Linked DNA regions of Arabidopsis thaliana. The main gene of each other region encodes a partner of the protein of the gene in region 2 in a complex. Each region holds a gene or a part of one and is shown on either strand. Other genes may lie near its edges.

Region 1 (6,925 bases), on a different chromosome or scaffold from region 2:
GTCGGCTCCGACTATTTCTCTCCCTACGGAATCTTTCCTCAGAGCAGCGACGTTACTCAAGAACCAGGTGCGTTACGATAACTATGCGACGCCCCAGACGGCTAATGTAAGCCTAGTCCGTACGTTCGCTCATATATGTTTTTTGGTCGATGTATGTATAGGTTGTGGAGGCCACGTGGAAAGGTGGTGTCGAAGCTCTTGCCTCTGGTTCGGGTCCAGTGCTGGATCCGACTGTGTACACAGGACTACTCGGCACAGCGTTCACCTGCTTGAAGTCGTACGAGGTAACGCGGAACCATCAAGATCTGCTAACTTGCGCAGAGATAATCGACACGTGTGCCAACGTTGCGCGTGCCACAACCAGGTGAAAATATCTTCGTCACTAAGTTGCTTAGCCAAGTAAACATCAAATATCATCTTCCATAAAAAAAAAAAATGGAATCTAACCATTTTAAAGAATATTCTTAATTAAAATCTGTCTGATAGAAAACACATGTGTGAGATTGAGTCATTACAAAGATGTCACTGTTTAACCAATTATAGTTTATAGAAAATTATGTATGTATGAACGAATTTTCAGGTTCTGGAATAATAACAATATCTACACACCCATTAGAATGGACTTGTCATTTTCTAACAAATTATTGGACTTGTTATGCTCATGAATAGGCACGTGACATTTTTATGTGGAAGAGGAGGAGTTTGTACGCTTGGTGCAATTGTAGCCAATTACAGAGGGGACCAATCAAAGCGTGACTTCTTCCTCGGTCTTTTTCTTGAGGTTCCAATCTTTTTGACTTCATACACCATTTCTTTTGCTTACAACACTTTCAGATAAAAGCTATAGATTCAGTATTTTGATCCAACGTGTCATATATTAACCCTTAAGCAAGATTAGTGAAGTGACGAGCCTTTAAGATTTGTTATTCTTACAAGCAGCTTGCAGAAGAGAGAGAGTTACCAGCAGGACCAGAGGAAGGAGGATTTGGGATGTCATATGACCTTCTCTATGGAAGAGCGGGTTTCCTTTGGGCTGCTCTGTTCCTAAACCGATATCTCGGCCAAGGAACTGTTCCTGACCATCTCTTATCACCCATTGTTGCAGCCATCTTAGCCGGTGGGCGAGTTGGAGCTGCAGATCATGAAGCTTGTCCTCTGTTATACAGGTTTCACAAAATAGCTATAGTTTGTTAAAAGAGAATCCTGTTTATCTTTAGTAGGAATTGATCTTACTTTTGTGGCTTTTAGGTTTCACGGAACGCGATTTTGGGGTGCTGCGAATGGATTAGCTGGAATCTTGTATGTATTGCTGCATTTTCCACTATCGGAAGAGGATGTTAAAGATGTTCAAGGGACATTGAGGTATATGATGAGTAATAGGTTTCCGAACAGCGGAAACTACCCGTGCAGCGAAGGGAATCCGAGGGATAAGCTAGTCCAATGGGCTCATGGAGCAACCGGCATGGCCATTACTTTGGCTAAAGCATCTCAGGTGTTTCCCAAGGAAAGGGATTTCCGCGAAGCAGCCATTGAAGCAGGAGAAGTAGTGTGGAAGAGTGGCTTGGTGAAGAAGGTAGGTTTAGCTGATGGAGTTGCTGGTAATGCCTACGCTTTCTTATCCCTTTATCGCTTAACCGGAGATGTTGTATATGAAGAGAGAGCAAAAGCGTTTGCGAGTTACTTGTGCCGTGATGCGATAGAGCTCGTGAATATGACAAGCCAAGAAACAGAACATGATTATTCGCTATTCCGGGGACTAGCTGGACCAGTATGCCTCTGGTTCGATCTTGTGTCGCCGGTAGATTCTAAGTTTCCTGGTTATGAGATATAATTTAAAACCAGGTAACCGTAGGTTCTTTTATGACTATCTCTTTGTGAAAGGATCTTAGGTTCTCCGGTTTATTCCACTTTCTATAATCTATTGAAGTAACTTGAGATTTGGGAGAAACATTCATAGAAAACAAGAATAAAAGTAACATGAAAAGATCAGCTTAATGGTTTAAACGGTATTGGTAGTATCACTCAGACAACGGAGAATGCAACCGAGACCAGCTCTCTCTGTTAGTTTCTCGTGAATCATCAAACACTGTTCGCATGTGGGTTCGTCACCAGTCGAAAGACCTCTGTACAAGTACCTGATCCACACCATTTAAGCAAACAAAACACTGCTTCCACATCACGCTAATTAAAAGCTAGCAGAGCAAAAGGCAAGAGACTTACTTCATGAGAATGTCGTAATACTCGGCAGTAAGAGAATTTAACATTCCTTCGATATCCTTTATCGCCATGATAGCTCTGTGCACAACTATCCAATTAGCTGACTGCAATTTCACAGATATTTATCATAAATTACACAATCTTTTTGATCATGAACAAACTACTTATGTGCATGGTAGAGGAAACAGTAGGACCTTGCAACGTTCGTCGAGAGTTTTAGGTGGCGAACCATCAAGAGCCGTTTTAAGAGCTTCGACATGTTTGTAGCTGAATAAAACGAAGTAACAATTATAGCCTAGGTCATCTGAGAAAGTTGGAAGAAAAAAGGAACTTTAGGGTTATTACTGTTTGAGTAAGCTTTCAATCTTCTGCGATTTGGTTTCGATCCTTGCCATTATTTCCTCTGCATTATCAGCTTCAACAAATGCTGCTGCACCAGCCATTGGATCTCTCTCTTTCTCTACACTCTCCAGCAAAATTATCTAAAACCTAATCAATTAATTTCATTTCTTCATTCAAATCGACAACTTGCTGCATAAGAAACATATGATTTGAGTTTACTAACCAAAGGAGGCAATGCAAAACTTGTCATCCCCATAAAAAGCTAAAAAGAGAAGTAACAATCACGACAAAATCAATTCTAATCACGTAAAACAATCCATTGCCGATGGTACGCAGATTTCTCACATCATATCAGATCAGTAATCCTGAACTTTCTGATCAAATCATACAAGATTGAAGAATCAAGCAGGATTCGAAGATTACCTGAAATTAGAGAGAATAAAGCAATCGAGTGGTAAAACGGCCGAGTGAGAATTTATCAGAACTGTGATACCAATTATTAAAATCGGATGCTTCAGTTTTTAATTTTTACTTTTTCACATTGACGTAACAAGAGAAATAGAAAAGTTGTTATTGCTGGTATATATTTGTAATTAACAAAAATGTAACAATAATCTTACAAATGTAGAGAGAATAAAAACATGTTGATCAAATTAATATCCAATTTTTAAGATCAAATTAAGATCGGTTTGTTATACTTGGATTCAACACCCCAAAACCCCACAAAAACTGCTCATTAAGCAACAAATGAATCACACAGCTCTAGATAGGAGAAATATCCCAATCAGAGTCTTTAAAACATCTATATATTGTTGTTATCAAGTAACATTCAAGAATTGAATTGGTTTATCTAAGAGTTACAACACATGTTACTCTTGTTTGGTATCACTTGACCAGGACCTGGAACAATATCAATCTTCTTACCAGCAAGCGACCCGGGATTACCATTCTCTTGATCTTCACTCGCAGCCAGACTTTTCTTGTTCACAATGTTGAAGATCTCAGTCAAAACCGTGGAGAAAGCGCTCTCAACATTGGTTGCGTTAAATGCAGATGTCTCCAAGAAGAACAAACCTTCTTTCTCCGCAAATTCTTTCGCATCTTCTGTCGGTATAGCTCGTTGATCCACAAGATCTGACTTGTTCCCAATAAGGATTATCACAATGTTCTTATCTGCATGAGCACGTAGTTCTTCTAACCATCTTGGGATATGGTCAAAGGTTTGGCGTCTGGTTATGTCATACACCAACATCGCCCCAACCGCTCCTCGGTAATATGCACTTGTTACTGCTCTGTATCTGTTTCAACCAATACCACACATATAGAAAGATATACAATGTAAGCATATGATAAGCATGAAATGTGGTGGTTAGCTTACTCATTAAAGATCAGTGAATGTATAAAGTTGATGAAGCATCACTGGGAAATGTATAACAAAAGTGTCCAAATTTGTACCAATCATAAAATTATAGAAGCTTAATAACATTGGAATAGTAATATACATAATTCTAGTCTATACATAATTTTGAAATCCCAATCCCAAATTCTCAATGATTCTACCATTTTACTTCAGATCCTCCCAATTTCGTATACAGATCAGTAAGCTTTACTAGAATTCGAAATCCTAAGCAGACCTATCATCTTCCAGATCTAGAGAAACAGTAAAATCTTACGAGATCTAAGTTCAAGCAATTGAAGTAGCTAAAAGTTCCGGGAGAGGTCGGAGATTACCGTTCTTGGCCGGCGGTATCCCAGATCTGAGCCTTAACACTCTTGTGATCGATAACAAGCGTCCGAGTCTGAAACTCAACGCCGATGGTGGCCTTAGAATCCAAACTGAATTCGTCTCTAGCATAACGAGCCAGTATCTGTGATTTCCCAACCGCGGAATCGCCGATCAACACCACTTTGAACACATAATCAATCTTCTGCGACGGATCTCCGTATCCTCCTCCACTAGTCATCTTCTTCAACGTCTCTCTCTCGCTAAATCCTCTCTTGCTAAATCCTCTGTTTTAAGCTTTTACCGAAAAGTGAGCTTTTTTGAAGTTTTAAACGCAGAGAGAGATCTGATACGGTCGTATTGTCGTCGTTGTCAACTATTAGTCAATATTTTTAATTAATGATGACGTGTCTAAATATTAACCGTTGGATTCTGCCGGCTCGGTGAGATTTGACGGATTCGACAATTATCTTTCTGTCAGGCGCATGTTTTTGGGTGATGATGTCATCAAATAGGGTAATTTCGAATGTTAAAAAGTCTTTTAAAATTGGGCCTTATTAGGCCCATTAAGTTATAATAAAGGGCCGTTATTTGGTTGATTACGTGTCGCTATCCGAATTGACAAAAAGTGACCTAAGCGTTTTCAGAAGAAAACAAAGCAAACGTCGCGACGGAGAGAGAGCGAGAGAGACGATGGAGGAAGAGGAGCACGAGGTTTACGGTGGTGAAATTCCAGACGTCGGAGAGATGGATGGAGATATGGAGGCTCTCAACCCCGATTTGGATATGGCTGCTGCTGATGATGATGCGGTTAAGGTCTACTATTATCTCTTTCTCTCTTACTGTTTTGCTCATCTTTATGTGACTGAGCTCGATTGATTTGTTATCGCGTGTATATGTGTTTGATTGTTGTGTTATTGCTGTTGTAATTCTAGGAGTTGGATGAAATGAAGAAACGATTGAAAGAGATGGAGGACGAAGCTGCTGCTCTGCGTGAGATGCAGGCTAAGGTCGAGAAGGAAATGGGAGCTCAAGGTTTTCGTCTCTTTGATTTGGTTTTGCTATAACTCGCTTCTTTGATATGATTATCATCGTGCTTCCCGCAATTCGCTAGGTTTTTGATAATTGGTAGCTACTTGGTGGTGTTTGAATCCATCTTAGAATTCCACTGTGAATTATGTTATGTATATGGAGTTTTTTTTTGCTTCTTGACTAAAGTTTTTGGTTCAATTTTGTTATTCCAGATCCTGCTAGTATTGCAGCGAATCAAGCAGGCAAGGAGGAGGTTGATGCTCGATCAGTTTTTGTTGGCAATGTAAGAATATTTATGTTTCTGCGTCGTTTTCTTTCTTTAAGCCATCTTAGCTAGCTTCTGCTTTATTTTCATAGTTTTTAACTCGTATTGATCTTAATGTTCATTGGATTAGACTATGAATTGTGCCTTTTTTAGCTCTCTTGATACAAAACCTTTTATCTAGGGTGTTAGAATTATTATCGTAGAAATCTATTATCTGATTATGTTCTCTTCCTGATCCATGATTGCATTCTCTACATTTAGTGCTTGAATATATCACTAGTTTACTCTGACTTTTGGTGTAATGTCACATCTTTGTTGCTATGGATTCTTGTCTATTCAGTGAGAACTCTTATTAGATGAAATTGTTGAATGGTAAAAAGTTGGTGCTTAGCGTGAAGACTTTATCTTCAAATGAAAACTAGTGAGGGGTTTCTGTTGTTAGTGATATTGAGGGTTTTGGAAAGTAGATTGAGTCTTCATATTACTGGTGGAACCTTAGCCTTCAGATATAATTGAAAATTTCATATGTTTAGTAACTTTTCTGTGCAAATTTGAGGATGCTATAGTTTTTGTTTTCTGGCGTTGAGTTTTACTTTTCTTATGATTTTTCTCACTACAATCGCAGGATTTTGTTCCTGAAGTTCTTAATTGCTCTGGGTTATATCAATTAGGTTTTGTGGGGTCTTTACATTTTCCTTTTATGGAGTTGAAAAAGATCTGTTCTGTTTTGTTGTGGAACATGATGAAAAAAGCTAAAAAAAAGAGGCAAAAAAGCATTGAATAAAGCTATGAAAAAAGAATAAAGAAAAGGAAATGAATACGCTTTAGAGCAATATAGAGAAGGAAAAATGTTATGATTATGAGGGAAAAAGAGATATCTGGAGAGGGGACAATGTTTGAGTGGAGTATTTCTCAATCCATCCTCGAGGAGATAGCGTTTGAAGTGCTGCATCAAGATGCTGGATGCTTTGTAGTCAAGGCTCATTAGCTGCGTTGGTGAGAAGCAGCTGTTTGATGGTAACATAAAATTAAGCTTGGCATAAAGTTTATGCTCGGTACACAGCGTAAGGGATCTTTTCAACTCAAAGGCTGCTCAAGTATACTAAATTCCACTTTGCTTTCCTATTGTTCTGCTTTACCTTGCACATATATTTATGTTGGTGTGTGTGTAATGAAGGATAGTAAAAGAGGAATGTCTTTGCTACGTTTTCTTGTTTAGCTGAACTAATTAATTTGATGGATTACTCTTTGTGTGCTCGGTGAAGGACTCCATGGGTTTATGCTAGTTTGTTATATACTATAACTGCATATTTGACTGTGCAGGTTGATTACGCTTGCACACCTGA
Region 2 (8,472 bases):
AACTAGAACCGATTAAAGATGTAGCAACCAGACGTTGAATCAAGGAACCTCAGTGACAAACATAAATGAATCTCTCAAATATGCTAGATGTCCTCGAGCTAGTACGAGGAAGAGAGGCTATCTAGAAATAGAAATCGATATAGATGAGAATTTAGACACGTCGAGCAAGATCTCGAACTGCAAATAACTTAAACACTCTGTCATTTACCGCTAAAAACGATATCGTTGAATCATAAAATAAAGGAAGTTTCCTCATGACACTAGCAAGAAATGCAAAAATGCCAAAAATACGAGTAAGGCAAAATGTCGATATGTTTCTAAAACCCTAATCTGTTTTTGGAAAGGAGCAGAAAACACATGTGTCTCACACGCCCGCTACCTGAGCATCATGCTACTCTACTTTCATCTTTCTAAGAGCATTTCCAAGCCATCTCTATACTTTATTTTTGCTTTCATTTTACTTTAACTTATCTCTATTTTTATTTATATAGAAGAAAAATTAGAGATTTCTAATTTTCTTAGAAACCATTAAAAAAATAGAAAAAAAAATAGAGACAATTTCAATAATTTAAAAATAATTAGTTCATTATTCTTTTATATTATTTTATTTATGTAGTTTGGTTCCATGTTTGTAGAATTTTTTAGTTCTAATCTCTCTTATCTGAATAAAACCAATAATAAGATAAATACGAGAAATTTGCGAAAATAAATCTAGTGTCCTTGTTGTGATTTCATTAAAATTTTAAAATAGTTCTCACGCTTTATATGGATTACCACAAACTCACATTTAAATTTTATGTTTTTTTTACCAAGCCAAAAGGAGGAGTACTATTTACGCAAAACCAAAACCTAATCTTGGTAATCGATATTCGATACCCAGCTAATCATTATCAAAAAAGTAATAATAAAACTCAAACCATAATTATCTAGAAAAATGAATCTGTTATAATACAAACACCAAAACGACAACGTAACGTAGTACGGTAATCGGTATGATGCAAAATTATCACAGTTTGTATGCTATATTGTATAATCTGAATCTACCGTAGTATATAAATCGTATGTTATCAAATCGATATTATGGTCTAGTATTAAAAGGATTTTGGTGAAATACAACTTCATATCCGAAAATAATCAGACAAAATTTCTTTAACGCAAGACATAAAACATCATTTATATCAAATACTATTCCAGCTTCTTTATCCATTCTCGAAACAATATTCTAGTCCTTAGAGCTAATGAGAGATTATACAATGGTTTGCGAAAATGTGAAGGTGATCAGTAAGGAAGATAGAATATGTTAAACCAACATCAAGAAGACAAAAAGGTTTCGTGGTGTAGTTGGTTATCACGTCAGTCTAACACACTGAAGGTCTCCGGTTCGAACCCGGGCGAAGCCAGTTAATTGCTTTTTATTTCATTTTTTGATACAATGAAACCTAACAATATATGCCCAGTCATAATTTATGGGCCTCAAAAGTATACTACGAAGGAATCGTTAATTTACTCGTGCGACCTTTGAATCTTCTTCTTATACCTTACTAGATCACTACAAATCTTTGATACATCTGTGTATAAGGATAAATTGAACGTTTGTTTTTATATGAAAATCAACTTTTACGACTATTTGTTGGTACGAATATTACTTCATTTAATTTGACTATCTGAGAATCTGAAGAACAATAAAGATTCATCTTCTTCATTTTTGTAAAAACAATTATAAAACAAAACAAAAACTTTATTTTCTGTTGAAAACACCATGTTTAGATCAAGACCAGACACAGTCCATATCAAGGTGAGTTTCTTACAATTTTCACATTATACATTTGTTCAAATATTTAGCAAGATCAGATGTATAGAAATATCTGAAAGAATTGTACTAAAATAAATATCACAGAGACTTAATCCAGTAAAAAAAATACATGTCTCAGCTAATCACAAGTTTTTACAAAATTGCTTCGTGAGAAATCCAACTACTTCGAGTTGGTGTGATTGACCTCGTTGAGTCCCTGTGAGGAAGAGGAAACAAAGCTCAAAAACAATGCAAACAAACAAAGAAAAAGTCTGTCGAAAAACAAATTGTTTCGCAACTTACTAGCCGTTTAAATGACTTGTTGTTCATCGATCTTGTTTTCTCCAATGGCTTAGCTTGATCCAGAGCCTGAGACAACAAGATTTTGTTAACTAAAGAACGCATATCCAAGTCGAATGTAATGAGTTTGGTGTTTTACCTGAATCATAGATTCCACGCGACGCCGCATCCTGGTGTGCATAAATCCCTCTGAGAACTGTGATATAACAACAAACGAACAAAAACTCAGTTTTACAAATCCATACTAAGATAGAGAGACTAAGTTCTGGTATTTAGAGAATATGAAAGTAGAAAACATGAAAGTTCGATAAAGAATATGAACCTTGACGTGATAACTAACATAAGCATGAAAGGTCGATAAATTCCAGACAGTACGATCGAGCTTTTTCCCTTCCACATGCCGAGGAAAAATGACTGCGATATATCGATAATCTCAAAGTTAGTTTCTTTCAGATTGGTACTACCAATGCAAATTGAGTTCGAACAGAATATATTTTAGAAAGATCATACCAAAAGTTACAAAACCGGCATTAGCGGATAGTGTTTCTTTAGGAGCTCCCTCTAATTCCTGCGGTGCGGTTGGAGACCAAGAACAAGAAGGAGCAGTATTAAGCGCAGCAGCACGCCTCGCCTCTACAAATTCCTATATCATTATATCCAAAGTTTCAGTACTACAGAAATCAAAACCTGTTTGAAAATTTAGCTTTGATCATTTTGTCACCTTAAGGAAAGAAGTCGCCAGAATCGTGTCTACGGAGTCTTTAAATCTCATAGGAAATGCCACAGTGACTTTATCCGCCTGTGATACACAGTTAAGTTCTCTATCACTCTCTAGATTCTTACTAATCATAAGAACCTACTTCAATGGCTACATACGAAAGACCTATAGAGTATATATATACCTGAGGCACGAGGAAAAACGTCTCGTTAGGTCTATGCATAATTGCTACAAGCCTATCCAGCTCAGGAGCAACCGTCCTTGAAGCTAAATGCTTGAAAATGATTTTTAACGGTGCACCCATCACCACTTCTCTAATGGAAGCTAGCTTCGTTAATAACTCTGCCAAAACATAGATACTTTCTATTAGAGAACAAAACCAACATCTAAATCAAAACAACATCTTATCAATTAGAGAAAGAGACTCGTTTAAAAACCTTCATCAGGACGAACTTTAGAGAAATTGAGCTTGAGGGTTAAACTAAAACCATCTCTAGGAGGATCAAGTATTTGAAAACCTGTCCCGTAAGTGGTTTTAATAGCTTCTATAGCTCCTAAAGGAAGTCCATCAAAGGACATTGCTTCAGGTGGTGGATTTGGTAACGAAACCGAAAGCAACAACAGATTTGGATTCTTCATTGTCACCTATCAAACAAAATTCATATAGTCTCAGAACATTGAACAAGATCATATGGATCTCAGAGGTCAAATACTCAAATGTTGGTATAAAATTCACACCTGAACATGGTAACGAACATCATCAAATTCAATCCATTGATAATCTAGCTCCACTGCTTTATCAAGACTGAACCAAAACATAAACAAAATCAAGCAAAGTATTGAACTTTGGTTCCATTCTACAAAACCCAGTTCTTCCAAAATGTTTCAGATTTCTTCACAAAATCAAAATCAAATCGACCAAAATAAAAAATGGGTCTTATTGTAGATTAGGTAAAACTAAGAGTGTACCTAATTAAGAATTGAAAAGCACTTACTTTTGAGCTCGCGTCAATAGCGTTTGAAGAAGAAACCTTGAATGTGACTGCAATAGTATCATCGATTACTTTCTTACGATATCTAAAGGAGTTAACTGAATCACAGAGAAACCCTAGAGCCTTTGAGTTCTTCTCACGGGATCTAATCGGAGAAGAAAGAGAGCTCGTCGGAGACAAACGAAGACGACCGAGATTCTCTGTCACAGCTTGAACGTTTCTTCGATAACTTTTTGGAATTTTACTAATTTGTTCAATTTTATTACTCAGCTACTCAGCTAAGTGTAACGACGCCGTTTCGTTATTTCTGTACTTTATATTTTTTATGAATTTAAATGGCCCATAGGCCCAATTATGTAAATACTATGTAGTATAAGCTGAGCCCATTTCATAAATATACAATTTGAGCTTAAACGTTTCAAAAATATTTAATGTTGCAAATATCTGTATGTTTGTTTTGACAGTGGCAAACTAGTAGTGTTTTCTAGATTTTTTTTTTTCCTTCAGATTTTAACATTTGTATTATTATTTTTTCTCTGGCTTTTGATTATACCTGGCTATGTTGATTGTAATCTGACGAAGGTTTTTAAAAAAAAAATAAGCACGTAAATTAAATGATATTTTATATTTTAGATTCCAGATATATGATTATTTGAATGGAAATAAACGACAAAAATTAGTGGAGCAATGTTTTCGTATTATCTGACGTCTTCATAATATTTTAATCTAACAAAAGTTGGAATTTGACCGTTTAATGTGTGCTTTTAAAATTGAGAGATTAATTTGGATAAGATATGGCTCTTTTCTTTTTGTAAGTGGAGATATTTAACTAATTAGAATGTTACATTAGTTTTTTCAACAATGAAAAGATAAGATATTTGATCTATAAGTCTACGTATATTTTCAAATTTAAATTGGCCAGAGTGGGATAAAGACAAATAACATATGCATGTGAAGTTTTTATTTTTATTGATATTAAAGTAGACTAGTATAGTCTCTAAATGTAATTTAACGAACAATAGTATACGAACGATTTATAGTTAATATTAGTTTAAAGCTCTTTAAATAATATTCTTATTAAGTTTTTTTACTTTGACGACAAATATTTTTAGGTTAGATATGAAAGCTACATCTACATATAAAAAGAAATTATTATTTTTTAGCTTTAAAATTGTCTATTTTGAAATTGATCGTGGGCAGACGGATGTGAGAGATGAAGGAGCCTCAAAAGCAAAACTATCTCACGTATCTATACGCACACACATATATACGGATATGGTCCTACTGCATCGACATAAGCTTACATACTATAAATGCATGTGATGGCTTTTCTTAGCATAAATATTCATGAATAAATATGCGAAGTTATATTTATATTAGGGAGAAAAAAGTAGATATAGTAAAATGAGTAACGTTTGTAAGATAGATCGTGACATGGTCTTGGCAAAAGAGGAGCCGCTAGGGACGTATCTTCGCCATTGCATATTTGCATATCGATCTATATATAAGACCAAGTACTGATTTTAGAAAATCTGAAAAAAGCAGAAAAAGAAAACAGTCGTACGTACGTTATTTCTATAACCGGAAAACTTTGATAAAAACTTAAACCTTTCCTCTTATATTGAGAGTGAAAATTTTAACCCCTAAACCATAGATTGGTTGACGTAAAAGAATGTTATTTTTAACTAATCGATGGTAGCTCATTTAGCTGAACAATGATATTTACATTTTTATATGTCGAGTCATGGAGATAGTTAAAACTTCCAAACCATCCCTCCCAAAACTTCTATTGTATATATATTGCAATTTTTATTTTTCGCAATAAGAATTTATCTTTTCTAGAGTCTAGACTAAATTGTACTTTTGTGTTTGGTATAAAACTCTCAAGCAAAGTTAATTTTGAATTGTTAGATTCCAGCATAATTATTTATACAGTTAGCTAGTAAGCAAAACTGATTATGAACTCGTGAGACTTCTTAACTGTTCTAATACAACTATATATTATTATTATTAAAATTTACCGTGTCAAAGTCTAGGGTTCTAAATTTCTAATTAAATATTACCAGAAAGTGATGTAAAAACAAGGAGTACTAGAAAAAGTAATATCAAATATGGATAAGGTGAGTCATCGCCACGCATGTTGTCGAGTACGTACAATTGCGAAGGCCCATCATTTTTTCATATTCTGTAAACGTCAATAAAGTGACTAATATACGTCTATATAATATAAAATACTTCTATGTATATTAAGTGAAAGATTCTTGTAGGACAGTATACATACTCCAGTGGATAATCTAAACTTATGAATTAAATTTCATTTCATTGCACTTGTGGGCCGTGACAAATAGCTCCGTAATTCTAGACGATAGACCATATATAAACACAACTATATAGTCTAATATGTTGACCCAGATGTTTTAAGAGTTGTGTTACAAAATGCAACACGTAAATTATCAAACCAAGTAAAATCACATGTCACATGCATGTGCTAAATGTTTGAAACAGATTCATTCATATTCGTATAATGAACGTGAATCCGAGTGATCACATGGACTAACTTTAATTTCGAACCTTATTTTGTCTCATTATATGTCGGAGAAACCACCGAATTTCTAGTTTGCCCATCACGGGATGCTCTACTTCATCTTCTATACGCTCTTTCTGTAACGTTTTATGGCTAGCTATATAATATATACAACAAGTACTGATCATTCTATTATTAATCTAGGTTCGAACCACATTAACGTGGATATTCTATGTACACTCATGTTCAGCCAGATAATTAGTCGTACCAAATATTAATATTTTGCAATAAATATCTCAGCTTTTCTCAGGTATGTAGCAATCATGAGTCATGCGTGATGTTTTTGGACAAATTATCTTAAAAGAAAATAATTCTACGAAAGGGTAGTAAAAGTGACAATATATGATTATATAATTTGGTTTACAGACCATCATAATACAGCAGCATGATTAGTGGCGAAAATAGTTTATTGCAAGAGTATGCATGTGTATGTATATATTGCATTTGTGTGGCAGTAGGTGGTCATTATCGCATATATACTACATGGGATTATTGTCACAGGTTTAAATGGAAACCAATGAAACCTTCACATTTTAGTTTAGTTCTAATTAAACAGAGTCGATATATTAAATGATTTAACTACTGTAACAAAAAGATATATAATTTTATCATTTCATCTTGTTGACAAATACATTTTGTTCAGCACTAATCATATCAATCACTTGTTATGCACTAATCGCAAAACGTTTAGGAAGCAACAATAATTTGGAACCTGTTTTATCAACAGTAAAAAAAAATTTTGTTTTATTGGATTAGTGTGGTCCCTTTGTTTTGTTTATCTCATTTTCACCGCAAACTAAACTAGATTTTGTTTGATTTGGAGATCTTGTAACGCAGTGAGTGGTTAAGACTTAAAGATCTCACGTGACGATGCATTGACTCATCAACGCGAATTTTACACGGCTCGATTTTATTATAAACCATTACTTCAAATCTAATTAATTTAACAACAGCGACCACGCATAAAATTGTTATCAGGCAAAAATGAATAATTTGCATACAAATTACTTGTTTACACTTAGTACTAATATAAACTCCCTTTTTAACCAAAGCCTATAACCTAGAGACATGTGCTGATAAAACCAACTATAATCTTTTTTTTTTTTTAAAGAAAATAATCGTACTATTATATATGTCATAATTATATTTATATTCAAATCCGGAAATTTGTATGCGTTGTAAGTTTTTTTGGGGAAGTAAAATTGGAGTGTGATATATGTGTTGTAACTTGTAAAACTAGAAAATTATTTTGATTTTACATTTGGTGTTAAGAGTAAGAGTTTTTGCACCTAATATTTAAATAATTCTTTATTAATAGGTGGAAAACTATCGAATGTTAATTCCATGTTGTTGGACCTATATGTTGCATTTGTATATGTTCGATCCTCGTCCTTTTTCAATGTGCAGATTAGTTCATATTTCTTTTTTATAACTAAAATTTTTAATACCAAAATCCAAATAAGTCTTGAAATTAAATGAAAGTAGTGCATTCTTCGCATTTAAAATATTTGCAGTAATGAAGGATCTACAGTATTATTAAATTTTTAATAAAAGAACTTGAACCCTAATCTCTTAACTCCATGCATGTCAAAAAAATCCAACCACTTGATTAGATTAGATTTTTGCTAACTTATTTATATTCATTTACTGATATAGATAATCATTTACTGTAGTTTGAAAATAAGAAAACATGATACATAATTAATAAATTTATATAGTTTGGCTTAAATTATAGCCACCTGACTTAAGATATTCAACTTTTTCTATAACCGAATCTTAGTCACTAATAAACTAATACAACTAATTTTGTTTGGATGTTGTTATGAAAATACTGAGTTCAATATTCATTTGGCTATTTTATCAAAAAAAAAAAATGGATATCATAGATTTATAGGTAACGCAACAGTACATGTATTATTTTATATTTTTCAAACTAACAATTCTATTATTTTAATGTGTTAAATTTTAGAGAAACTAAATAAAAAATAAATTGGAAATAAAGGAGAAAGAAAGGGTAGTTGTCGGCAAAGATATAGAAAACGTGGGGGCCAGTCCCGTAATATAGAACGGTCAACTGTCACTTTGT
Region 3 (7,301 bases), on a different chromosome or scaffold from region 2:
ATTATTTAAGGGTTTATTCTCTTTTTCATTGTTAGGAGACCCATTCCTCTCCTTCTTCTTTTTTCTCATTTTTTTTCTTTCAAGAAGATTCATTCTTGATTTGGAAAATGCATGACATATATTTCAAACCAGATAAAGTGAACCATTTCAGTCTGAATTCAATTGAATAATGTTAATATGAAGACCAAGTTGAATTTTAATGTGGGGAATTAAGCTTCTTTGGAAGGTACTAACCAAATTCAAATATAAATATATTCTTTGAAAATTTGAAACATAATTCATTATGAAGTAAATATTAAATAAAACAGAAAGTGTTCCATACTGAATTATAGTTTCATTTTGAATACTATTCTATACAAAAATAAAAACAATAAAAAAAAATTGAGAGAAATATTAGCAATGAAAACAAAACTATCAAAGAATTGTTTTTGAAGTTAAAAAATATAAAATTTCAAAGTTCGAGGTCGGTGGCTAACTAACATGAAAAGCGCCGAGCAACTTGTGATATGTACGAGTTGGACCAAGTCGTGACGACTTTTTTAATAAGCTTAAGATCCAATTATTTCTCAAGAAAAACAGTAAAACGTACGCCAACATATATTAACTACGACGACAAAATTCTTGGCCTTTAAGAAAGACTAGTACACGATCAATCCCAACGATTAAACCAGCAGACGAGTAACCATATGTAGGGTACGAGTTTCTCAACCACATCTCCAACTTTTCAGTAGACGATCTAATTATGTTTAACCACTAGAAGCCGACACCATAAACATCCATCCGAGGTTATCGTCTTTCGAAGAGTTCCTAACGAGCATTCATGAAACATCATTCTCACTTCTCCTCCCACTAAACCGACTTTTTTCGGATGTTATTTCAAATTTGGTTAATTGCTAAATGATTGACCATTAATTCGACCACGTGATTACACAAAGAGACGTTTAGATCCACTACATTGGTGCGATGTGAAGTGATCACCATGCTTTAGTTTACACGTCCACTTTATATAGGTTTGGCAGTTAAAAAAAAGAAGTTTTATACATAGTTCTATCAAGTGGTCTTAGACCGAATCTTGGCAATATATTTGTTATAAGACTACCAATATCATTAATGATTAGAGAAAGTTAATGTTAAGTTTCATCAGATTCTAATTTAAAACCAATGGGTAATGATTGGATTGGTTGTGTTCCATATATACTAGTGTTAGCACTTAGCAGTCATGAGTGTGTTTACTCCATTTATAGTATACTTTCGATGTAGGATCCTAATTAGAATGATAAAGAAACATTCCAAAAGAGTATTATCAAAATGCTCTTCGTCTATCCATACAAATATAATGAGATTTGGGCAGAAACAACCATTTTGTTAACATATTAGGGTCGAGCGCAGAAAAAAATATATTTTGACCTGTGTTAATAAAATAGAATAGGTTGCGATTTTAATTAAGGAGGTTAATAAATTAAAATCGTAAAAATGATACCAAAATGGTAACAAAATCGTAAAGAAAAGTTCATTAGTATAAATATAAAAAATTCGGTCCAACAAATATTACTATTAAAAATTTATAAGAGAGATTTATAATAAAAAAAAAATTGTTATACCAAGAAAGAAAAGGAGATTCTTGTATTGTAACCCGTTTGTGTGTCTTTTTTAGTCTCAGATTTGTTTTAATTTTCTATGACTTAGGATTTGTAAGTCTTTTTTGGATTTCTAGAACCTGATCGAGGAAATTTCAATGAATATAGTGTAATTGGTTTGTTTGGATTTTGTTCCCTTTGTTTACCTTGTTTGGTATTTGGCTTCGGGAGTGTTCTTGTACTCATCGGCTTATGTCTCCGGAAGTGGTTTGTACTTGCCGGCTCTTGTATTTCAACTTGAATCCTATCGATGAAAATCCTATTGACAAAAAATGAAAAAAAAAATGAAGCTTCCATCATCCATCATTCAGTGGCAGCATAAGCATTTAAGACTACGTGCCGTTTAAGGCCAAGACAAACGGCACTCAGTTCCCTTTTGAAATGGTCAAATGGCGATTGAGTTGTTTTCCTCTCTCTCTCTCATTTTTTCAATTAAAGAAGGGAAAGAGGGGAAATCTCTGATCGGAGAGAAAGATCGAATCGAAGAATGGCAGAATTCGTTGAAGCTGATAACGCAGAAGCAATAATCGCGAGGATCGAAACCAAATCGAGGAAGATTGAAAGCCTACTCAAACAGTAATATCAGACCTTGGAGCTAAACCCTAAAGTCTTCTTTTGTTTTTGGTTTAATCCCTTATCGGTGTTTTAATGTGTGCAGGTACAAACATGTAGAAGCTTTGAAAACGGCTCTTGAAGGTTCGCCTCCGAAAACTCGCGATGAACGTTGCAAGGTCTCTCTCTTTCCGAAACCATCTTTTTTTTTTTTTTTGATTTACTGAGCCAAAAAAAACTCAACTGCAGTCGGCTAATTGGATAGTTGTGCACAGAGCTTTAATGGCCATTAAGGATATTGACGGAATGCTCAATGCTCTTGATGTCGAATATTACGACATTCTCATGAAGTAAGTGCAAAGTTGGTTTTTTTTTTTTTTGCTGTAATGCGTTTTGTAATATGTATGAATTGGAAAGCTCTATCCTCAGGCTGTCTGTGCTCTTTGATAGAATGTTTTTGCTTAAAATTCTCAGGTACTTGTACAGAGGACTTTCTACTGGGGACCGACCCACCTGCGATCAGTGCCTGAAGATTCACGAGAAACTCACTGAGAGAGCTGGTCTCGGTTGCATTCTCCGATGTCTTACTGATACCATCAACACCGTTTGATCCATCATTCCCTCTTATGTATTATTACTTGATGCCTTGATGTTTCCAATGTGCATATTCTCCTTGAGGAACCATGTCTCACATTTATCAGTTTTAGACTTGTATTTTCATTACCAAACAGTTGCTTGATAAATGATAACACAAGTCATTCCTAGAGCTCATGTGTAACATAATTCCCGGATCAGCTGAATCATAAATACGAAGACCAAGTTGTGATTAAGTAATTTTAGGGGGGTGTATTGAAACCAGAATCTTTTAGAAGATTTGGTGGAATTTGCATTCTTCTACAGACCAAATCCATTCTCGATTTTGCCGGTGAAGAACAGAGACCGAAAGCTTTTTTCATGGAAGACGAGGGGAGGAGGACAATGAGAATATGTCGCAGAGATTTTCTGTGAATCTTTTTTTAAATCAAATCGTTCAGAATAACACCTACAGGTGAGATTTTTTCATGCTTATTTTCAACTAAATTTTTTTGCCTAAGTCTCCCAGAATCAATGTTAAATGTTTTTAATGAAATTGTTTTGTTGAGTTTAGATAACAGTGGATTTAAGATGTGTTTTATAAATTCTTGAATGAATAACAGAAGATTATAGATTCTTTTGAGTGATTTTATATAAATTCCAATTTCAATAACAAAGGATTTGAGAAAAAAATTACAAATCACAAGTTGAATACAACCATTCCTGATTCACTGAATGTTCATAACTCGAAGGCCCAATATCGAACTCAGCCCATTGAAACTAAATTCATTTCTAAACTTTCAATGTAAATGCACTCGTCATACAAGAGTAAATGTTCACATAGTTAGTCATTGATTTAAACAATTTTACTCTTTAGATTTTTAAAATTTTATAGGATTGTAATAAACCAGGTTGAATTCAAATGTCAAATAGCGTTAAATAAAAGTTTAGATCTTTTTTTTTTTTTTTTTTTTTTTTATCAACGTTAGTACAAGAAGAAACAAGAGCAGCTTTTGCCAAAGCATCAGCTTGATCAACGTTTCCTTATAAAAGACAAAAGCAATTAAGTTTTTACTTTTACAGTCTTTTTGATCAAATTAAATGAGTAATTGAGTAGTAGTAGTAACAAAAGGGAATCCCAGAAATAGTAGTTGCTTTCACATGAAAAAATTTCCAAATACAACAATTTTTATTTATTATTTATAGCATCCGGTAGTTCCAGATGAACTCTTGAAAACCTATTTTCAATAAATCTGATGATCCTCTTTTGATATTTCAAAAATATTAAGATATATAACAATATAAAAAAATTGTCAGCTAATTACAAATTGTTTTCTCTAAAATTCAAAATTACCAATAAAAAAAATGATGTCTTTAGAAAGAAATAGATAAGTGTTTTTGTGATAAACGTTTAAATTATTGTTTATGTACTCAGATGTTTTCGGAGATAAAATGGATTATATGGAGTCTGATGTGAATTCAATAACTTACCAAGTATTAGTGCATGGGAGAGCGAATTCCCTTCTTCTTCTTTTTTTACAGATTTACGTGGAAGCAATTTTGAGTGACAAAAAAATAAAATATAAATATAAATATATATATATATATATATATATATATATATATATATATTTGAGCGACCACTGATCACAAACGTTACGTTTTTAAAAAATTCAACCCAATTCGTAACCCTAATTTTTAACCCAAAAAAAATAATCCTAAACCTAATAAGCTATATATTCACTATATCTTTTGTATTTGTTTTATTGGGTGAGAAAACTTGTTCAATTAGTCAGTAATTGGTTTTCGTTCTCACTCACCAAATCCTAATTGTCATGGTTTTGAAAATTATTAAATCTGGAAGTAGAACATATAGCGTCGAGATAAATATGCTACCTCTTATATCCTTTTATGTTCTTGCCTTTTTTTTTTTTTTGGGCATACTCTAGCTAAAACAATTTAAGTTCAAGTTTCAAAATATTTTTATACTGTATGTTTTTTTGAATACCAAAAAATCCAAAAAATATTTGAAAATATCCGCAAATATATAAAAATATCTAAAATATTCAAAAATATCTGAATAAATACTAAATTTCTGAATTGAAAGAACCGAAACCAAATCCGAACTAAACCAAAATTGTTTTGATTTTTATATGGTTCTTTAACTCGAGAACACCGAAATAATCAGAACTAGACTATAATCGAATCAAAACCGAACCGAATACCGAATCGTGCAGTTCGAACGGCACATGTGGCACATGTGCATTTATGAACTAATTATAAATGAAGATCCATGTAGGTGCATCTAAGTTTGATTTTCTTTTTTAGTTTTTCATATAAAACATTGAGTATTGTCTCTTTAAGTTTGGTTTTAGAGAGGAAGGACCGAAAAGAAGAGTATTAAGAACCAAAGAGGTATTTTCCGTAAAATATGATTAAACCTAACATATCAATGACAATTAGATGGTCATTCCTTTGACTTTTGTTAGACCATGTGGACAAAAATGCACACATACAAACATGTTTATATATATTTATATATATTATCATCTTTCATTAGACGTGCATATCGGTGGATTATTTAGTTAATTATATATTTGAGCAGACAAGCTAACTATAATATATATCTATATTCTCCCAGTTGTCCACAAAAAGAAAGAACAAAAAACAAAATTCTCCCATATGATGTCTTAAAAATATACTTTCTCTCATATCATAATTCATATATAATATTTGGCTGATCGCAATTTGAAAACGTTCAAATCGTGTTAGGAGGAAGCAAACTTTGATTTGCTTTATCTAATAACATTTACTATAACGAATTAGTACAAAATTTATAAACTCAACAAAATTAGCCATTCAAAACTCAAAACTGAAGTAAAGACTCACAATTAGGAGCAAACACAAGTTGAAACCAAAATAATTTTGATTTACAACAAATACGTTTATCTTTATACGAACGTGTATACATCTCTACTGTAACAGATATACAGTGCCATAAATATAATTACAAATTGTATTTATACACATGTTGTTGAAAGTTTGTTCTGTTAACTTTTCTTAAACAAAAGAAGAAACATCATGAACCTCAACAAAGAACACTTTGTGAGTAATTAGAGAAATAATATATTTTTAATTAAAGCGACCAAAAGTTAAATATGTTATTTATGTATATATGAGTTTTTTTTTTTTTTTGGTTTAGTTAGTTTTACATTAATCTATTTACTTTAGTTGTATGTTCTCGACTCACTTCATAATCTTAGTACATGTGGAGCTTTTTCCGAATTTTATCAAAAAACAACTCTTGCGATATTAATATAACTAACTGACTAAGTTATAATAACCTAATTCTCACATATTTATTTACGCGCGTGGTTGAGTACACATACGTCGTGATGTGCATAATCAACGAATGATTTCTTAAAAATATATCTACAAAATAACCCCAAAAAAAACTAATTCGGGAGTGAGTGTGAATCTTTGAATGAATTGTGGATATGAATTTAAAGAGGTCGCTCCATTTTCAAAGTCACTACGAAAAAGATTGGCAATTTGATGGCTAAACCCCCTACATGCTGGTCCCATTTAATTTTGGACCTCGTCGCTTCTGCATTATTTTCAAAATAAATACAAAAGTATGTAGTAAAAATATACATATATACTTCAAAAATCCAATCCATATTCTCTCACAATTTTTTTAATTCTTAAACAAATGAATAGAAAATTCGCTACACTACTTTAACTAAATGATGCAAGAACTTATAAATTACTTGTAGGTTCATGATCCAAAGCTGTATAAAGTATAGGAGTACTTAAGATTATCTATTTTCTTAAAACAATACTATATATATATGCATGTGAAGAGAGTAAATATAAGTAGCTATAGGTCAAACTTAATTAATACATCGAGCTAGAATTCCACGATCCCTCACTATAGTTAATTAACAACTACGAGAAAATAGCCGAGGACCGTTTTGCATGATTAAATCCTCTTGTTTGATTTATATTACACAAATATATGAGTAACGTATTTTGTACGTTATACATTGGAAGAATAATATAAATAAATAACTAAAATGAGGAAAAAAAATGGACCATTATTTGGCCTCTTTATTTATTTTTCCTCCCAAACGTGTGGGCAAAGTGTGGGACTAATTTGTAGACTTTTTATACTCTTCTTTATTTGCTTGTTTTGGGCTTTACCTAAGCGCCGTTTTCGTTTACTTGATATCTTCCCCATTCCCAATTTTAGTTTTTGTTTATGGTTGAAAGTATTCAATAATCAACTTATAATTTTTTCAGTCCAAATTCAAAAGCGGTCTAGTTCTTCGGCATATATGTGATTCTTTCAAGTTTTGCGGATAATAGTTACTTCTATATGTCAAAGAAAGAGAAGGTAGTAGTTATAGATGTGTCATTCCGCCAAACTCTTGCAGCTAGCTTGTCTGGTCTGTGAAGACATTCTAAGTTTCTTACTCATGATGAAGAGTGTTATGCTCGAGCAAGGCATTGAGAGAGAAAAAAACGAAAAGCAAAATG
Region 4 (9,633 bases), on a different chromosome or scaffold from region 2:
ACATAGACCAGATACGAGATTGTTACGCAAATTTTAAGATTTCGGTTCAGATACAAAGGGTGTGTGGTTAAAGATAGACCAAACAGCTGAGTTCTTAAAACAAACGAATGTAGAAAACTGAAGCTATGTCGCTTGTCACTTGATAAGAAAAAAGCATATCAATACATTTGCAGTAATGTAGCAGCCAATGGACGGTGATACCTGAACTAAGATCTCTTTCAACCTCTTGTGTTGCTTTCTCAAGGTAACCAGCAGCATTAGTAGATTTTCCAACAAGAGCATCCTCATCAATCTGAACGCCGTGAAGAACTTCAACAGCAGACACTACTTTCTCCAGTGTGGATCCATTTACCTGTCTCTGAGGAACAGACTGCAGAAATGACAGAGTTGATTATGTGGTTAGCATGGAAGAACTCGAAAGTAGAAATTATCACATAACAGTGGACCGTACTGAGACATACTGGTACGAAATTGCTTGTACAACAAACTCTGACTTACAAGCTTAAGTGGCACGAGATTTCCGTTTCTGGTTCCATTTTCAGGCTGTCTTCCCAGAAGTTCTTCTTTGAGAATTTGTCCACGGGATCCAAAAACTTTCCTTTCTTCCCATATATTAACCTTGAAGAAATAATTACGATAATTAGCAATGCAGTTTTCTTGTCAAATTCTTTAAATCACATCAATAAGTGGCATTTCTATGTTCTCTAAAATCTCAAACAAAGAGAAATTCAGAGAGAGTGGTAGATAAAAAGTTAACTTCACGTACCAATCGGCGTGCGGATTTTCTTCCAAAGTCATCACCATTTTCAATCATATCACGAAGAGCATCAGGGAGTACTTTCCAGAACTCACCTACAAACTCCGAACCCTTTCGCCTGCTATTCTGCAAGATATCATTCGCGAGGTACAAGTATGCCAAACGTTGCTCACGTGGGGCACAGTGAAACTGCCTACCCCATGTTTCTACAACATGTTTTGCTTTGTTCATGTGAAAGATACACCAATGTGATAAAGCTGTATAACGTCAAGGAAAACATACACCATAATAGTATACAAGGCGAGAGAAAAACAACACATCACATGAGACTAATCAAAGGGAAACTAATTTACAATAAAAGCAAGTTGGGAGAGTTGAGAAAATTATCCGTGTATATCAGACACCAATATCACTGAAACTCAAAATTGGTATAAACTACAGCTCAAGTAAAAGAAAATCCTGAGGAATTTAGATATATTCTGCTTGAGAAGAGATACCAATACTTTCATCTTATACCATTGTTACTCATTAACTTAGATACCAATTCTGTATAGTCTTTTCCAAGCACCTATTTAAGTACTTAAACAATGAAATTACAGAGCTTTACTACAACCAAATTATGATATACAGAAGAGGATACTCTCTATGCTTGCTTGAGAATTGTTGAGCTTGGCAAGCTTCTCAACTAATATCTGAGCGTTAAATGAACTACCCATTGCTTCAACACCAGCTCAAAAACCAGTGTGCCTTCACAAAATCTATAGAGAAACAAAGAAGATACAAGTCAAAAACCCTAAGAGTCATCAATCAAAGCAATGGAAAAGAAAACAAAAAGGGTCAAGCTTTCTGACAAGGAACTCGTAAGACGAAGCGAGAACTAGACAATAGGACAAGTACGTGCATAAACAAAACTAGTTAGTGGCTTTAGACATCAAAGCTTGTATAAACCCTAATCTACGAGAGATAACCAGAGACCAATTTCAGTAGAAAGCAAATACGGAAAAAACAAGCGCGAAGAGGAAATTACAGAGAGAATCAATCAGAAGAAGGAGATTGTTGCGATGATGCTAACAATTAGCAGTGAAGGAGCCAACGAAAATCACGGTTAATAAAATGGCGCCGTTTTCCGATAATGTCTCCAAAACTCGCCGGAGAAGTTTGAGCAGTTTGGAAATAATCTTCGTCGTGGTTAGATTTGGATGAACCACCGGGTGATTTCTCTATAACTTTATGGGCCTATATCTCTTTATTGGGCCAACGCTCATAATGTTTTATATGTCGTTGAGGTAGTTTAACAGTCACCAACACCAACGTTTCTGACACGGTGTTGCCGTTATTGGGCCAAAGCCCATATTAAGACCTCAAAAAGTTTTTACAGTTTTTTATTTTGGGATTGTAAATCAGTTTTTTTTGTTTCTAGTTAATTTAAAAGTTTTCAAATCCTTTTTTACTCATGGCAGGTTAGGTAATCATTTTGTCTTTGATCTAGCTTGAAGCTGCTGTACTTAGACTAGCTGCAGAACATGCAGTAGAAGGAAGCTGGTTCCATCAATTCAGAGTTGTGGCAATCTTTTGGGTTTTAACAGAAAACAATAGGGATCTACCTTGTGTGGCAAGAAATAGGGTTCCTTTTCAAAATTACAAATAATCTTTCACTGTTTTGACTCTGTTTGCTTACTCAAGAATTAAGATATATGCATTTCGTCTCTTCTCGACCTTTTGGCTTTGGTTATTACACAATATATTAGTCTCAACATTATTAGTTAATACACGTTTTTCTGTATATCCCACCAATCACATGTCGAATTTTGGATCCCTAACTGCAACCAATTGTACTCAAACTTTGAAACCTAAAATACTGAATTCACAAACGGAATTAAATCATCCTGACGGTAGTAAAAAAAAGGGGTACAAGTACAAGTATGAGTTCTGCGTTTGAAAGTTATTAAGCTTGGCTCATTTTATTCAAACAATTAATTCCTTCTTCCATATAGTCCTCTCTATTGATCCAGAACTCTGGTGCGTCCTGCAACATCGAATCCAAATTCTCTTAACATCATAACACAGACTAAAATTTCATGCTTTCGTGTTAAAAGAGAGAATAGCATTGAACTTTTCTCTTACCTTCATGATTCCTGCAAGAACAGCACCTCCGAGGTATACCATGTGTTTCCTTCTCGGTGGATCTTCGATCCGCAATCTGAGTTTCTGATTGATAAGAAAAACGAAGATAAATGTTAAAAACTGAGCTAATGACTGACAGTGATCATGGCATTATCAGAATCATCTTTTTTACCTTCAAGCCATCTTTGTTTCCTTTTAGAACTGTGTCGAGATACCGATCCTGTATTTCTTTCTCAAGACTGAAACAAACAGAGAATAAAAGACAATGAAACATAAAACAATGGAACTTCTTGCTGGGTTATGATGAAGAAAAAATATACGAACCGGCTAGGTAATCCTGGGTACATGGTGCTACCTCCGCTTAAAACTATGTGTTGGTAGAGCTGTGAAAAAAGAGCAAAGGGTTTAAGACAGATAAATGATTAGTTTTGTTGGATCTTTCTTTTGAAATACCAAGCAAGCGTAAGAGTCACACGAACCATCATGCGGTTATCAATATCCATTTCTTGAATACATCGGAAAACCATGTCTGCCATTCCATCACCTTCAACATCAATGAGTTCCTGAAAAAATATTTGGTTGTGATCAGCCTCGAGATTCTTGGAGGGTTGAAACTATTCCAAAAGAGAAATTAGCAGAGGACGCGATGAAGGTTTACCGGAGTAAAAAGCGCTTCAGGTGCTTGGAATCTTTCAGTGCCTACTTTGATAACCCTCCCATCTGGAAGCTGATCACAGTTCAAAAACACAACGGGTTAGTACTCTGGAAAAAAAATAATTTGGTGATAATATCAGCTTTAGAGGCTGCAACTGGCACAAGTATGAAACTTTATCGACTATCGGATGAAAAATCCCAAACACAGCGCCCAAGAACAGAGAAACGATGTCATGAAAAGAAAAGATGATAATATCATTCTTTCATTACCAAAAAGAACAAAGGAATGATGGCACGAATCTTTAAAGTTCTCTACAGGCTCAAGTTCGCCAAGAATCTGCTATCTATTTAGTTCTGATCATGAGTTTGGATTCCTATTAGCTTAACGTACACTAGTTTCTGTTTCTTGCCTCTATTTGCCATCGAAACCTTGAAAATTCACACACCTGACAGGTTCATACCAGGAGAGAGACTTACAGTATAATTCTTAACAAGGATAGTTGTCTCAAGGCCAAGCTGAGATTCTCTCTTGTAATCATAACTGCAAAAAAAGACAAAACAAATTGTGTTTATTTCCTATTCTAGTAATGCATTACTACACAGATATTAGAGGAAAGCTGAGAAGAGGTCTTTGCATGCCTTATATAGCAGAGCTTCTCTTTAATTTCCCTAACCGTCTCAAAGTCAGCTGTTTTGTTCATCGCATATCTGTTGAACAAACAGTCTTTTAGTTTAGCTAATTTAAAACATCTCAACATCATTAAAATGAATGTGAGTCTATGAATCAGTTTCTCACCCTCGTCGAGATAGTAGATCAACGAGATATGCTGTTATGTGTCTGCCAGCAACATTCATTCTTTTAGTAAGATGAGGGAACGAGTAGCCGTCAACCACCGGAACCTAAGATGTGAGGCGAAGACGGTTAACTTCTCTATTATAAGCAATATATGATCTAAAAAATTACAGAGGTTTATAGCTTACCACATGAGTAACACCATCACCAGAATCAATAACCAAACCAGTTAGCAAACCTGAAACCAAGAGTTCAACACATGAAGAAAAATATCAGGGAAGCACACATAAATGCTATTTACAGGTGACTATCTAAACACACGAAAGAAAATCTAAACCTTCAATAGTCTCCATAAGCACCTTGAGCATAGAGAGTCAAAACGGCTTGGATTTGAATGAAAACGCCAGCGAAATTGTATTTCTCAAACATTGTCTCAATCTGTTTTATAACATAAAATAAATCACTGCTCCAACAACCATCAAAGCAACTCTTAACCAAAGACTTGATAATATCTTACCATTTTTTCACGATTCTTGGACGGATTAAGAGGTGGATCCGTGAGCAATATCTTACAGTCAGATGGATTGATCTGTTAATAACAAAAAGGGTTTAAGAGTAAGTCAAGACACATGGAACCGAGACAAAAATGGCAAGAAGAAGCAGGAGAAGAAACTTACTTTCAATTCGTTATAGAAAGCATGATCCCAAACATGTTCCATATCATCCCAATTCTGCACAATACCATTGTGGACAGGATAATTTATATCCAATTGATGCCGGAGCTCAGAGCAAGTCTCCCCAACAACTATATCCTAAAATGAAACAAAACCAAAACGTATATGAATCCGAATTACGCATATCAGCTCAGTCAAAACTCAAAAGGCTAACAATGATCTGGTTTTGCTTATTTAAAGTCACATATCTACAAACCTTGACTTGTTGCTCCATGAGTGATTCTTCATACCGAAGCAATGGCCTTCCCACGACACAGGGGAAAACAGACGTTGGGAAATTCTCTCCAGCAAATCCACATTTTACATACTGAAAAATTTAATAAGAGGCTCACAATTTGTTCCCATCACAAGAAACTCAAAACTTAAGCAACCCATTATGAGATTTCTCATGTATTAGTTTTGATTTCAATAGAAACACGATCTTACACTATGCTAAGACATGAAAGTTTTCAAATTTTGCAACTTTAAGACAACTAGATCCTAAACAAACTCAAAAGTGAGATTTTTAACGAAACCCAGATAGGAATGGAATGATTGATCAGATTCAACTAAAGTTCGGAGTCTGAAACAAGAGATATCAGAGAGAAGAAGCTTACACCGGTGCCGTTGTCGCAAACGACGACGTTTTTGTTGTCCATCTTCTCCGATTTCTATAGAGACTACAGATTTTTATCGAAGTACAAAAATTTCGATTTCTTCGATTCGATCTCTCAGGGAACAAAAGAAAAAACCTGTCTTTGAATCGAAGCGAAGAATCACTCTTCTCTACTTGTTTGGTCGCGATCGAGAAAACATATTTGCTCTTCGACAAACAAAAAGCAGCTGTTTCCTCGTTTCTTTATAAGAATGCGCGTCGTTTACTCTACGTGAAAACGTCACGTAGTGCAAACGGTCAATACATAGAAAAAATTATTAAATACGTTACCCCTTTTCTCGAATTATTGAGATGGAGTTAACTTGGTTGTGGGTATTGATGGGCTATCTCAGGCCCATATTAGGTCAAACAGATAATTCTGTTTACTTGTATAACAATCTTCTAGATGATCTAAACTAAGAATTAGTAAATGATCATCATGCAATCCCTTGATCAGAGATTTCAATCACTATTAGGGTTATGTTACGAGAAAGATGTTACTAGGGTTTTGGTACGAAGTTGGGATATCAATCTTCTTCTAGGTTTTTTTGTTGTCTCTATGTTGTCTCAATACTAAAATTTATTCTACATAACATGTTGTAAATTAAGTTCCTGTCACAACATGTTATGTATCAGTCACCAATATAGTAAAAATAAGATAAGACTTTTACAGTTTCACACACACAAGTCCAATGACTTGTTCGATGTAAAATCAGCTTTCATGTTTTCACTTTTATATAGGTTAATTAGGACACACACTGTCTCTCATGCTTACTGGAACATTGCTAAGCTGCTTTATTTAGTTCTGGTAAGAACAAAACTGCATGTCTTAGACCTCAAAGTAACCACGCGTTTCATCTTCACTTCTGTATATTGAAATGGAAGAATTCGTAGACAAGTCAAGCTCCTTGCCCAATGTGTCGAAGAGAATGGAAATTAAAAGAGTAAGCAACTTAAGTCACGCTCTCATCATGAGGGAGGCTTTGGAATGGATCTATTGGAGTTGTATTTGGACCATAGTGTTGAGTTAGATCATTGCTCAAAAGGGAAAGAGAGAGCTTTGTGAATGTTTTTGAATTTTCTTCACTTGTTTTGATTGGTTGGACAAATCATAGAGATCAAGCAACTTTTTGACTCGTTAACCTCTCTCTCTCTCTCTCTCTTAGTCTCTTTCCTTAGTTCCGTCAAATTCAAGTCAAAATGAGTAAAATGATATAAACTTTTTGACTCGTTGAACAATTTATACTTATCTTTGAAAAAGCTTGCAAGGCAAAGAGTAAATGCAATACCAGCTTATTTGGTTCCCAACTGCGAAGGGTTTGTACCTAGTTCAAAACCTTCCCACAGTTAACGGCACACTCAGGGCAATAACATGAATGTAAGTAAGAGTTAAAGAATACAACGTTACCATCATTGTGAAATCCATTGCAGCTCAAAGCCACTGAATCAGAACATGCAGCGAAGTGTTTTACACTCGACTCTAAACGAAAGTCTTTAACTCATTCAGAGAGATCGAACGAAAGAGAACAATCTTTGGAGATGCAATAGAAGAATACTGAGCAAAAGAGAGCTATAAATCTTCATTCTACAAATATGTGATGGAAGACAAGTATACATTACCATTGTTGTACTATCTGAAAAAAGCCGGTTTCTTGATATTCAAAAGCAACAAAACTCAGAACAAGTAAAAACAAGCCTCTCTGCAACTTAAAGACTCCAAACAAAAAAATCTCTGGCTGTGTGTATTCAACAAACTCCACCTGCAAGTTCAAACAACAACTGCCAAAAAATTGTCACAAACACTCGGAAAAAAAGGTTTGAAGATTCCACTCTCTTGTATCATCATCCTCAAATTGAACTCACCTTGTGTTTTTGCAGAGGTTTCAATAAGTATAGATTATCACTCTCACTCAGTATATAACCTTTTCTTTTTCTTCTCCATGGTGGTACAAATTACAACAATATTATCACAAAACAAAAGCCAAAAGCTTTTTCAAATCCAGAAGATACAAAAAAAAACCCAATCCTTTTAACGACCTGAGCCTTGAGAATCATCTTTCTCACCACTCTCTTGCTGATGTTCTTCATGGTTATGATGCATATGGTGAAGAACCCTACCTTGAGCTTGAGCCTGAGCCTGACCCATCTGTTGATAAATCTGAGTAAAAGACTGAGGATTCAAAACACCAACATTCCCTTCTTGAGACAAGCCTAACTCAAGTCCAGGCATCTGATTATGATTCCCACCCAAAATAGATGCAAAACTCATATGACCAACACCAGGAAAATCAAAACCAGGAAACCCAATTCTATAACCAGCTCCTTCACTCATTAAACCAGTGGTTGGCACACCAGAACCAAACCCAGCTACATTTGGCCATAACCCAGTTGGTAAACTTGACCTAGAAACTCCTTCACCGCCACCAATCCCCCAATTTAATGGTCTACCACTACTACTAGACCCACCATCTAAGTCATGACTGATCATTAAACCAGCAGTAAGAGACCCACCTTGATGATGGTTAGAGGTTGCAGCTGAAGAAGCTAAAGCAGAGGCCGGTATAGTTCCTGAACCAGTAGCTGCAATAATCGATGGCTCAGCTTGTTGAAGCAGCCACTGGATAGTTTCACCATCAGATTTATGACCCAATTCTCTAGTCAATTGAAAAATCCTAGCAGCACAAAGAGCAGGCATCCGAATTCGTCGACCTCTACCTTCGACTTTAGTGTGTCTGTCTTTGTTAGAGCTTCTCTTAGGACCAAGCTGGTTCTGATTCTGACTCTTCTTGTTTGGTTCTTTGTCGGAAGCAGAGACCACGATCTGGAAATCTTTAATCTCAGTTGTTGGTTTGCGATTCTCGTCGGAAACAACAGCAGAAGCAGCATCATCATCTACCAAACCCTGATTTCGCGGTGGTGGTGGTGGGTTCAAGAAATTTGGTACTTGGTGACGATTTAGGTTCTTGGGATCCATCGAAGCTTGCTTGTGTGGGGACTTCAGGGTCCAGAGACTTAATTTAATCAAAAATTCTCTTGGATTCAATTAAGGGTTTCAGAATTGTGACGACTTTGTAAAACAAAAGGTATCGAGTTTTTTTTTTTTTCTTTGGGAATTTACGAATTTAATGTTTAAAAAAAAACCCAGTAAGATCCCGATGTAGAATTTGAGGAGAATAAAGAAAAAATGTTTCTTTTGATCTCGAAATTGGTCAAAAAAGAAATGAGAAAACACTTTAAAAGTATGAGACTTTAGTTTTGTCTTTTTCTTTTTTATTCTTGTTTACTTTTTGGTTTGGTACTTTAAATAACAGAGAGAGATAGCGAGTGAGTGAGTCTCATAGGTTTCTCACCAAACAATGCAATTTTTAAGACCATAAACAGCAAAGTAACAAAACGACACATAAAAGAAAAAGTAGTGTGACCGTTTCACTTTCACATTTAATCCAAAGGTAATTGAGAGTCTAACAACTGCCACTTCATTTCCCACTAGATACACAGTGACGGATCTAAAATCTATTTTTACATGGGGCATAATTATATGTGGAAATCAGGTTTCAAGTTAGATTTACCTGAATTTTATGGTACTTTACAAACAGAAGAGTTCCTAGATTGGATTAGCACGACGGAAGAGTTGTTAACATTCAAAAATGTCCCTCATGAGATGAGAGTTCCTCTTGCTGCAACACATTTTAAAGATCGTGCTTTAGCCTGATGGTAACAATCCAATAACAGTTGATATATTCAAAAAAATCTCAATAATTACTTTTTAAAGTTTGTAAATTATTATTATTAAATAATTACAATGTGTAGAAAATTAATCCCTTTAGAACATAATTTTTTTTCAGAAAATCAATATTTTAGAAAAAGAGTAAGTACTATTGAATACATTGTTGCTTCGTATATATCTCTCATTCTGTCCTAAACGAAAAAAAAAAAA

Evidence for each region.
Region 1: DIS2 (region 2) and AT5G65274 share a complex: the UniProt entries of both Arabidopsis thaliana proteins name them as parts of the arp2/3 complex.
Region 3: DIS2 (region 2) and CRK share a complex: the UniProt entries of both Arabidopsis thaliana proteins name them as parts of the arp2/3 complex.
Region 4: DIS2 (region 2) and ARP2 share a complex: the UniProt entries of both Arabidopsis thaliana proteins name them as parts of the arp2/3 complex.

What each region holds. Positions count from the first base shown.
Region 1 is NC_003076.8:26,081,035-26,087,959, reverse strand, and holds AT5G65274 (ARP2/3 complex 16 kDa subunit (p16-Arc)), read right to left. Parts: upstream 2,661-6,925; coding exon 2,563-2,660; intron 2,485-2,562; coding exon 2,412-2,484; intron 2,368-2,411; exon of another isoform or gene 2,322-2,367; coding exon 2,221-2,321; exon of another isoform or gene 2,136-2,220; coding exon 2,000-2,135; downstream 1-1,999. Other genes in the region: GCL1 (GCR2-like 1), read left to right, coding at 1-67, 162-364, 670-781, 940-1,166, 1,249-1,831; RABA4a (RAB GTPase homolog A4A), read right to left, coding at 3,410-3,857, 4,291-4,523; AT5G65260 (RNA-binding (RRM/RBD/RNP motifs) family protein), read left to right, coding at 4,976-5,098, 5,218-5,317, 5,527-5,597, 6,903-6,925. UniProt on the Arabidopsis thaliana protein: Functions as a component of the Arp2/3 complex which is involved in regulation of actin polymerization and together with an activating nucleation-promoting factor (NPF) mediates the formation of branched actin networks.
Region 2 is NC_003070.9:10,956,501-10,964,972, reverse strand, and holds DIS2 (Arp2/3 complex, 34 kD subunit p34-Arc), read right to left. Parts: upstream 4,066-8,472; 5' UTR 3,868-4,065; coding exon 3,806-3,867; intron 3,616-3,805; coding exon 3,549-3,615; intron 3,456-3,548; coding exon 3,248-3,455; intron 3,153-3,247; coding exon 2,995-3,152; intron 2,892-2,994; coding exon 2,814-2,891; intron 2,736-2,813; coding exon 2,603-2,735; intron 2,507-2,602; coding exon 2,415-2,506; intron 2,289-2,414; coding exon 2,232-2,288; intron 2,162-2,231; coding exon 2,096-2,161; intron 2,010-2,095; coding exon 1,974-2,009; 3' UTR 1,742-1,973; downstream 1-1,741. UniProt on the Arabidopsis thaliana protein: Functions as actin-binding component of the Arp2/3 complex which is involved in regulation of actin polymerization and together with an activating nucleation-promoting factor (NPF) mediates the formation of branched actin networks.
Region 3 is NC_003075.7:733,652-740,952, forward strand, and holds CRK (ARP2/3 complex 16 kDa subunit (p16-Arc)), read left to right. Parts: upstream 1-2,001; 5' UTR 2,002-2,124; coding exon 2,125-2,213; intron 2,214-2,295; coding exon 2,296-2,368; intron 2,369-2,438; coding exon 2,439-2,539; intron 2,540-2,663; coding exon 2,664-2,799; 3' UTR 2,800-3,314; downstream 3,315-7,301. Other genes in the region: AT4G01703 (uncharacterized protein), read right to left, coding at 601-714. UniProt on the Arabidopsis thaliana protein: Functions as a component of the Arp2/3 complex which is involved in regulation of actin polymerization and together with an activating nucleation-promoting factor (NPF) mediates the formation of branched actin networks.
Region 4 is NC_003074.8:9,950,085-9,959,717, forward strand, and holds ARP2 (actin related protein 2), read right to left. Parts: upstream 5,899-9,633; 5' UTR 5,701-5,898; coding exon 5,659-5,700; intron 5,370-5,658; coding exon 5,259-5,369; intron 5,141-5,258; coding exon 5,006-5,140; intron 4,918-5,005; coding exon 4,846-4,917; intron 4,767-4,845; coding exon 4,688-4,766; intron 4,567-4,687; coding exon 4,517-4,566; intron 4,436-4,516; coding exon 4,332-4,435; intron 4,244-4,331; coding exon 4,175-4,243; intron 4,077-4,174; coding exon 4,013-4,076; intron 3,609-4,012; coding exon 3,540-3,608; intron 3,445-3,539; coding exon 3,361-3,444; intron 3,265-3,360; coding exon 3,206-3,264; intron 3,121-3,205; coding exon 3,054-3,120; intron 2,966-3,053; coding exon 2,882-2,965; intron 2,784-2,881; coding exon 2,703-2,783; 3' UTR 2,395-2,702; downstream 1-2,394. Other genes in the region: AT3G26990 (ENTH/VHS family protein), read right to left, coding at 202-370, 499-618, 767-1,014, 1,398-1,473; TCP20 (TEOSINTE BRANCHED 1, cycloidea, PCF (TCP)-domain family protein 20), read right to left, coding at 7,726-8,670. UniProt on the Arabidopsis thaliana protein: Functions as ATP-binding component of the Arp2/3 complex which is involved in regulation of actin polymerization and together with an activating nucleation-promoting factor (NPF) mediates the formation of branched actin networks.